2 linked regions of the Caenorhabditis elegans genome follow. The protein of the gene in region 1 purifies or fractionates together with the protein of each later gene. This does not show direct contact. Each region holds a gene or a part of one and is shown in the gene's direction. Other genes may lie near its edges.

Region 1 (3,884 bases):
TTTTGACGCCCTTTGGATGTGTATTTGTATCGATTGAGCTGAATCACAATGACAGGAGGTAGCTTAACATAATCGGATTGCTTCGAAACATCTCCAGTTTTATTGCATTTTGAGCATTTGAAGTCGTCCAGACTGAAAATAAATATTAGCAGTGAATAGAAAAAGATCGAACTCACTGTTCTTCTCCAAAGTAAGCATCAAGAGCATCTAGAAGTGTGCAATAACCTTCAATATTCAAAGTCAATGAGATTGCTGTTTCTTCCCGTTCAGATCGTTGTCCACATTTGCATACAATTCGAGTACAAGTCTCTCCAGTGAAAAGATCTTTTAATCTTTTCAAAGTTTCTTTTCCATTCGGATGATCTGGAAGACATCGTTCGAGTGCATTGAAGAATTTTAATCCGAATTCCTGAGAATCTTGTTGTTCTGAATTCAATCGAAGTAATTTCCCAAGATTCGAAGTTTTGTCGGTCTCGTTCTGGAAAGAAAAATCTAAAATTAACAGCATTCATATCAAATAACTTACGAAAGGAGTTGTCTGTAGTGTATAAAAAATGTCTTGAAGCGCGAGCATAGTTGCTTGAACATTCATTCTTGGAGCTTCTGGCCTGAAAAATAAAACAAATTTTTTTTGAAAAACTGAGGCAACAAAACTAACGGAACAAAGTTCTCCGATGGTCGGAAATCATAGATCAACTGCCGGAACTCAGGAACGTTGAACCAGACTTGAAGAAAACTATTCACATAGCAAAAGTTTCCTCCATTGATAAGCCCGGCTGGTTGATCATTCAGATCTCTCCGCTTTTGATCTTTTTTCGCTTCTTCTTTAGTTTCCTGCTCCTGAGTTATCAACTTTTCAAACTTCTCGAGTCCTAATCGATGTATACAAAATGGATTATCGCGACAATTCGATGACCTGAATCGATAAAAACAAAATTAATTATAGTTTGTTTAATAAAAATGCTTACTTTGAACTATGCATATCGTGTAGAAGACACTTTTGACAATCTAATTTGGCAACTTCCATTGCTTTCGAAAATGTGACTTGGTCCTCATCTGTATTTACTAATGCATTTATTGCTTCATTTCGAAATGCAACTTTTCTTTGATTCGGACGTTCTTTTGGCTTTTTGTCAGTCTCCTTTGTCATTTTCTGAAATTGAAAATCTTTTTAGACATTCCTTTATTAAAGGAAGTGTTCTCGTTAAGAATAAAAATAAAAGCAGACTTTGAAAACATGACAACGCGAAAATATTATTTTACTTTTTATTCAAATTTTAAACTGAATTCTTGCACTTTTTCTTGGCGTTAAGATTTAAAAGTTCGTGTATGAATTATTCCACATCGTCAATAATCAATAGTCCGCGGAGAAAAGAAACGGGGCAATAAAATAAAAACATAAATAGCTGACAGAAATTTGAATATGCGATGCACATTGAATGCAATTTCTTGAAATGCTGGTTTGTGCGTCAGATTAAATGCATTGACTGGTGCATACACGGAGCACCAACTCTGCGGACTTTTTCGCAAAAATTTTTTCTGATATTTTGAGACCCGAAGAACTCTGGGGATGTCCAATTGGGGGGATTACCAACTCGGGGGATTGGCCCCGCCCACAGAACCGTGGCTTGCAATACGCCCATTTCTGCAACTGCCGCACGGTTTCGAAACTGTATTTTTCTCAATAGAGCGAGAATTAACAAGAAAAATACAGTTTCAAAACCGTGCGGCAGTTGCAGAAATGGGCGTATTGCAAGCCACGGTTCTGTGGGCGGGGCCAATCCCCCGAGTTGGTAATCCCCCCAATTGGACATCCCCCGAGTTCTTCGGGTCTCGATATTTTGTTCGAGATTCTTATTTTAAAGATTTTCTTCGTTTTTTCCAAATTTCTTCGATAATATATGTGCTAATTTACAAATATATGTTCTAATTTACAGAAAATGGGTAAACGCTTGAAGTCCAACGCCAGAAAAAGCGCTGTAAACAAGCTTGTCAAAAAGACAGACAACAGAATGTAAGGATAACGATAATTTTATCGAATAACCTTGATTTAAAACGCAATATTTCAGAAAAGAAGAACAAAGAGTCATTAGAACACCGAAAGTAGATGAACAAGAACTCAAATTGGTCCGTGCGTAAGTTTTATTCGTACGAATATGTGTCCAGACAATAATAATTCATAATTTCAGTCCAAAAATCTCATCCGCTATGTTTATGAAATACAATACACAGCTGGGTCCACCATTTCACGTTATTGTCGATACCAATTTTGTGAATTTCGCCGTCAAAAATCGCATTGACATGTTTCAAGGATTCATGGATTGTCTGTTCGCGAAAAGTGAGTCATACACTTTCTTTCGTTTTCTTGTATTTTATCACAATAATTCAGCTATTGTGTACGCAACTGACTGTGTATTGGCTGAATTGGAAAAAGTGAGAAGATTCAAAATTGCTCTGAAAGTTCTGAAAGATCCACGTGTGCAGAGACTGAAGTGTGAGCACAAAGGAACATATGCTGATGATTGTTTGGTTCAAAGAGTTACACAGGTTCGTTTATTCATAATTTTTCATTGTTTTTCATTTAATAAAATCTAACAAATCTTAAACGAATAAAATCTATTATGACGAGAAGAGGCAGGAGACGGAATGTGGTATTGCTGCAGTCTTTTTGTTTGGCAAACTTGAACAAATAACGAATCTGAAAATGAAAAAAATAATATAATTTTCAGCATAAATGCTATATTGTGGCCACTTGTGATCGTGATCTGAAGCGCCGCATCCGAAAGATCCCAGGAGTTCCGATCATGTACATTGTCAATCACAGATTCTCCATTGAGCGAATGCCTGATGCATATGGAGCTCCAATGAACTAACCTTTTGATGCTTCACGCGTACAATCCTAATCGATACACCTTGGTGGCGAGAAATGAATGAAGAATGAACACGACTGGCTTTGCGGAATTTAGCAAATCCAATTCCTAAATTTTTCATTCATTTATGCTTCTTTTGTTTTGAATATTACTTGTTGATCTGCTTTTATTGTTTTGTTGCCTATCCTTTTTTTTATTCAAAAACTTTACACAAAAAAAATCCGTTTTTTTTCTATAAGTATGAAATTAAGGTTAAAATAAAATCCATTTTTACCTGTTCACCATGTGGTGGTCCAAAATCGACCCAGAGAAAACGACCACCATCATCGCCGGTGGCGCGAATCGTTTCAAACGAATGTTGCCACAGTACCTGAATTGTAAGCTTTAAGAAAATGTAGCTTCTCTAAATGTTATAAATCTTTGTTTTAATCTAGAAAACGTTTATCACTTTCTTATTGCTAAATTATTCCAATGAGCTCACCTCTCCAGTCGACGAAAGTAATGATATTCCATTGTCTAGATTAACTATTAGTTCGCATGATTCGCCTCGCCAAAGACAAGGAGCAGAGACTTGAGATGTAGAAAGACATGCTTCATATCCACCGATCACTACTGCACGAACCCATCGTGCCAGTTCTGCATGAGTTTCTACCCGGATCGTATGTGTCCGAACACCTTGTTGAGTTCCAGTTCTCATACGGAAAGAGATCACATCAGTGAGACCTTTAATTACTGGCGCAGTTCGAGAACTTGTCTGAACGACTCTTGTTGCCACCAGAGGACGTACTAGTCTTGGCTCTGCCCATTCTGCTTTCAGCTGTGGAACAGCTTCATAGAACAAGATCTCACTATTCGTAAGCGTCATAAATTTAGGTTTCCACATTGAAATTCCATTTTCTGATACTTGTTCTGCAATCCAACCCATATGTCTCACTTGGGGGTTGTTACCGAGCATTATATTGACTTGAGCCAGTGCCTGAGTCAGAAGACACGTGGTACAGGCATGTAAAGCTT
Region 2 (4,229 bases), on another chromosome or scaffold:
GCAGGCGCATACAGGGCAGATGCCTAGAAGGCCTTCTAGCCAGGCGTCTACAATGCCTATAAAGTAGGCGCCTGCTAGGCCTACTAGACAGGGACCTACAAAACCTACAAGGCAGGCACATAGAAAGCCTACAATGCAGGCGCCTAGAAGGCCTAGATCGCCTACAAGGCAGGCGCCTACGAAGCAGCCTACAAAGCCTACAGGGCCTAGAAGGCAGGCGCCTACAACGCCTACAAGGCCTACACGGCTTAAACCTCACCTTCAACTCCAACAGCAACAAACGGCTTATCCTCGTAGGCGGCCGCCGGGCTATTTCCCTTCACCTCCGCCGCAGCCGCATCTCCACCACTATATCCGACAGGCGTTGGCTTGCTCGGATGCACATCGTATCCAGCTTGACGGGCGGTACGGTTGCCTGCCTGTGCGAATGGGAAGCCGGCTCGCAGAGCAGCAACGTCATCGAAAATCTGACGAGCATTGACGTTGCACGTGGCCATCTCATGGGACATCTGACGTTTTACCGATTGGACGTAGGTGAAGACAACTGGCATTGTGACACAGAAACAGATCACCGAGACTGTGGAGAAGGTGACGGCGGCGTAGCCGATAAGGCGGTAGGCCTGGAAATGATATGGATTTTTAGTTTTTATAAGCTTAGAAGGCCTAGAAAGCCTACAAGGCAGGCGCCTAGAAGGCCTCTAAGGTAGGCGCCTAAATGGCCTAGAAAGCCTCCAAAGCAGTCGTCTAGAAGGCCTAAAGGGTAGGCGCCTAGAAGGCCTAAAGGATAGGCACCTAGAAGGCCTAGAGCGCCTACAAGGCAGGCACCTAGAAGGCCTACAAGGCCTACAAAACAGGCGCCTAAAAAGCCTACAAGGCAGGCGCCCAGATGGCCTAGAAAGCTTACAAGGTAGGCGCCAAGAAAGCCTACAAGGCAGGCGCCTAGAAGGCCTAGAAGACCCACAAGGCAGGCGCCTAGAGGACCTACAAGGCAAGCCTATACGGCCTAGAAAGCCTATTAGGCCTACTCGAAATAGACCGCTCACCTTAGTCTTCGGATCATCATCAACGTGCGTCTTCAAGCCCATTTCGCGAAGCAAAACGGGTGTGGAGAATGGCTTATCACCGCCTGCGTTGCGCATTTTAAAGCCGCCGAAAATCGCCAACGACCGGTAAATCGGTGAAAAAGTTGGTTCGCATGCGAGAGATAACGTAACGCCGTGGAGACGCAGAGTGTGTGGTCTATCGGATTTTCGGCGGAAAATGCTGGAAAAAAGTGTTCCCTAAAGACGTCAAAGATGATAATGAACGATATAATTAGAAGCTTTTCTATAAAGTTTTTTGTCATTGAAGCTGGAATTTGGCTGAAATTTGCCGATTTTTCGCAATTTCTGAAGCTTGGAGCTTAAAAAGCATCGATTCTGCTCGAAATTCCCTCAAAAAAACCCGAAAACCCATCAATTTCCCGAGAAAATCTTGAAAATTTGGAGTTTTTCCTCTTCGGGGCCGAGTTGGAGTTTTCTAGGCCACGAGTTGCATCCGCGCTCCATTGCGAATATGGTTAATTTAATTTATTTATTTCGAAGGTTTTCACCGGGTTTTCGTCGGTTTTCGCTCTTTTTCGCCAGTTTTTTCGAATAAAAATTGAAATTGAATGATTTTCAGCTCAAAATGTCTGCGCTCTACTTCAAAAAGCTACGAAAACAGCAGAATCCCGACGTTTCAAGCAGCGAAGATTCGGATTCCGACGAGGAAATTCCAAAAAAGAAGCAAAAGCAACAAGTAATCACAAAAAACGGCGATTTTTGCAAATTTTTAGCGAAAAAAACCGAAAATTTCCCAGAAAAGCACCAAAAAAATCGATTTTCAGAAGCCTGTCGCCGAGGAATTCGATGATTTCGTCGTTGACAGAGCCGTACGTGAAGAAGCGCCAAAAGAAGGAGCTTTTGAGGCAGTTGACCTGCTCGGAACATCCTATTTGGAGCCATATGAGATGGATAAGGACTTGCAGGAGCTTCTGGAAAAGTCAGTTGTCGGGCCGAAGTTTGAAGGCGATCATCAGCCTCAAAATAGGCTTTTAGGCCGGAATGCGGCCGCCAGGCTGAAGAAAGTGCGTTGAAATCGATGAAAATTCGATTAAAATCGCTCAAAATCCAATAAAAATCGCTATTTTTCCAGTCAGAACGCGAAAAAACCAAAGGATCCGCTTGGTTCAACCTTCCAGCGACGGAGCTCACCGATGAGCACAAACGAGATTTGGAATTCCTTCAAATGAGATCAACTCTCGATCCATTGGCTCATTATCGTCGAAATGACCGGGCTGTACTGCCGAAATACTTCCAAGTTCGAGAAAATTTAAAAAATTCCCAAAAAATCCGAGATTTTTCAGGTTGGACGAGTCGTTGACGCTCCAGAAGACTTTTATTCGAGTAGAATGGTGCGAAAAGAGCGAAAAAAGACGATGGTCGACGAGATTTTGCATAATGAGGAATCGTTGAGCAAAGCCAAGAAAAAGTACGGGAAAATCAAGAATTTTTGTGAAAAAATTCAAGTTTTTGCGTTTTTAACGTTAAAATCGTGATTTTTAGAGCAAAAATGAGCTAAAAAGGATAAAAATTGGCCGATTTTCACCCAAAACGGCGAAATTTTGCCAAAAATCCTGGAAATTGATATTTTTAATGCAAAAACTCGCTAAAAACGGTAGAAATTGACCGATTTTCACTCAAAACGCCGAATTTTTGCCGAAAATCCTGTAAATCTGCAGTTTTTGCGTTTTTTTAACGTAAAATTATGATTTTGGACTCGAAAACCCCAAAAAAATGCTGAAAATTGATCGATTTTCACTTGAAACGACGAAATTTCGTCGAAAAAACCCGGAAATGGACAGTTTTTTACGTTTTTTAACGTAAAATTATGATTTTGGAGCTCAAAATTGGCTAAAATTGATGGAAAATGGTGAATTTTCGTTACAATATGGTTTTTTTTTAATAAAAAAAACATTTTCCAAGATTTTTACCGAAAAATTTGATTTTAGGAGCAAAAAAAAGCCGAATTTTCAGAAAATTTCGCCGAATTTTGTCCAAAAATGGCGAAAAACCGCAAACTTTTAACTGAAAACACGATTTTTGACCAAAAAAACGATAATTTCAACGTTTTTTTCCGGAAAATAATCGAAAATTTTGAGAATTTCAGTATTTTTTCCTGAAAAATCCGCTAAAATCTCTGAAAAAAGCACAGGTTTTCCCCCCAAAAATCGATTTTTCAATAAAAAAAAACTCAATTTTTTCGGATTTTGAGCAAAACAAACGGTTAAATTGTGTGAAAATAGCTCAAAAATCACATTTTTCCTCCGAAAAAATCGATTTTTATATCAAAAAGCTCCAATTTTTCCATATTTTCCTTCCAGATACGCTGAAATTCGCCAAAAAGAGCAATCTAAACGACGTGGAGCATTCCAAAAATTCGGAAATCGCAAATCTCACAAGCAACAGAGAGAATCAAAAATGAAGAATAAGAAGAAATAATTTTTTTTTGTTAATTTTTTGAATTTTCACATTTTTTTTCTGGTTTTTGTTGGAATTTTCTTGTTATAGACTCGTTTTTTTGTTATTTTGTCGATTTTTTGCCCATTTTTCACTAATTTTCACTGGTTTTCACCCAGAATTACCTTTTTTTTTACCGAAAATTTCAGCCAAAAAAATGGCAAAAATTCAGAAATGTACGCGACGAGCACACAAAAACGGGAATGGACGTATACACCGGAAAAGTTGGCCGCAATGCGTTTGGAGGTAGAAAAATTGGAATTTTTTATGGAAAATAGGCTAAAAACAGCAAAATTTTCACTTAAAACACGGAAAATTAACAATTTCGGCATTTTTTATTTAAAAAATTCGGAAAAAGTTGAAAATTTAGTCATTTTTATTGGAAAAATTAAGAATTTCGGCATTTTTTATTTAAAAATTCGAAAAATTGAGCATTTATTTCATTTTCTCTGAAAAATTCAGGAAAAGTTAGAAATTTCAACGTTTTTTCCGGAAAAATTTATTTTTTTGTTTTTTTTTTCTGAGAAAAATTGAAAAAAAGTAGAAATTCCTGTAATTTTACTGAAAAATCTGAGAATTCCACCGTTTTTTTTCCGGAAAAATGGATTTTTTTTCGCTTTTTCCTAAAAAAAAAACTGAAAAAACCTGAATTTTTCCTCAAAAAATTAAAAATGCCCAATTTTTTTGCAG

Evidence for each region. Proteins that work in one complex are often made in the same cells at the same time.
Region 2: the proteins of F30A10.9 (region 1) and Y49F6B.2 fractionate together in Caenorhabditis elegans (co-fractionation; one large-scale study listed by BioGRID). This does not show direct contact.

What each region holds. Positions count from the first base shown.
Region 1 is NC_003279.8:9,503,822-9,507,705, reverse strand, and holds F30A10.9 (PIN domain-containing protein), read left to right. Parts: upstream 1-1,937; 5' UTR 1,938-1,940; coding exon 1,941-2,014; intron 2,015-2,069; coding exon 2,070-2,135; intron 2,136-2,189; coding exon 2,190-2,338; intron 2,339-2,389; coding exon 2,390-2,547; exon of another isoform or gene 2,548-2,698; intron 2,699-2,729; coding exon 2,730-2,873; 3' UTR 2,874-2,885; coding exon of another isoform or gene 2,886-2,978; 3' UTR 2,979-3,144; coding exon of another isoform or gene 3,145-3,240; 3' UTR 3,241-3,303; downstream 3,304-3,884. Other genes in the region: Ubiquitin carboxyl-terminal hydrolase usp-48, read right to left, coding at 1-132, 177-478, 527-608, 659-916, 969-1,150; stn-1 (Syntrophin-1), read right to left, coding at 2,886-2,978, 3,145-3,240, 3,352-3,884.
Region 2 is NC_003280.10:3,501,306-3,505,534, forward strand, and holds Y49F6B.2 (Fcf2 pre-rRNA processing C-terminal domain-containing protein), read left to right. Parts: upstream 1-1,662; 5' UTR 1,663-1,668; coding exon 1,669-1,779; intron 1,780-1,867; coding exon 1,868-2,107; intron 2,108-2,175; coding exon 2,176-2,340; intron 2,341-2,386; coding exon 2,387-2,511; intron 2,512-3,403; coding exon 3,404-3,521; 3' UTR 3,522-3,605; downstream 3,606-4,229. Other genes in the region: col-71 (Cuticle collagen 71), read right to left, coding at 260-620, 1,044-1,139; cyh-1 (Cyclin-H), read left to right, coding at 3,714-3,785.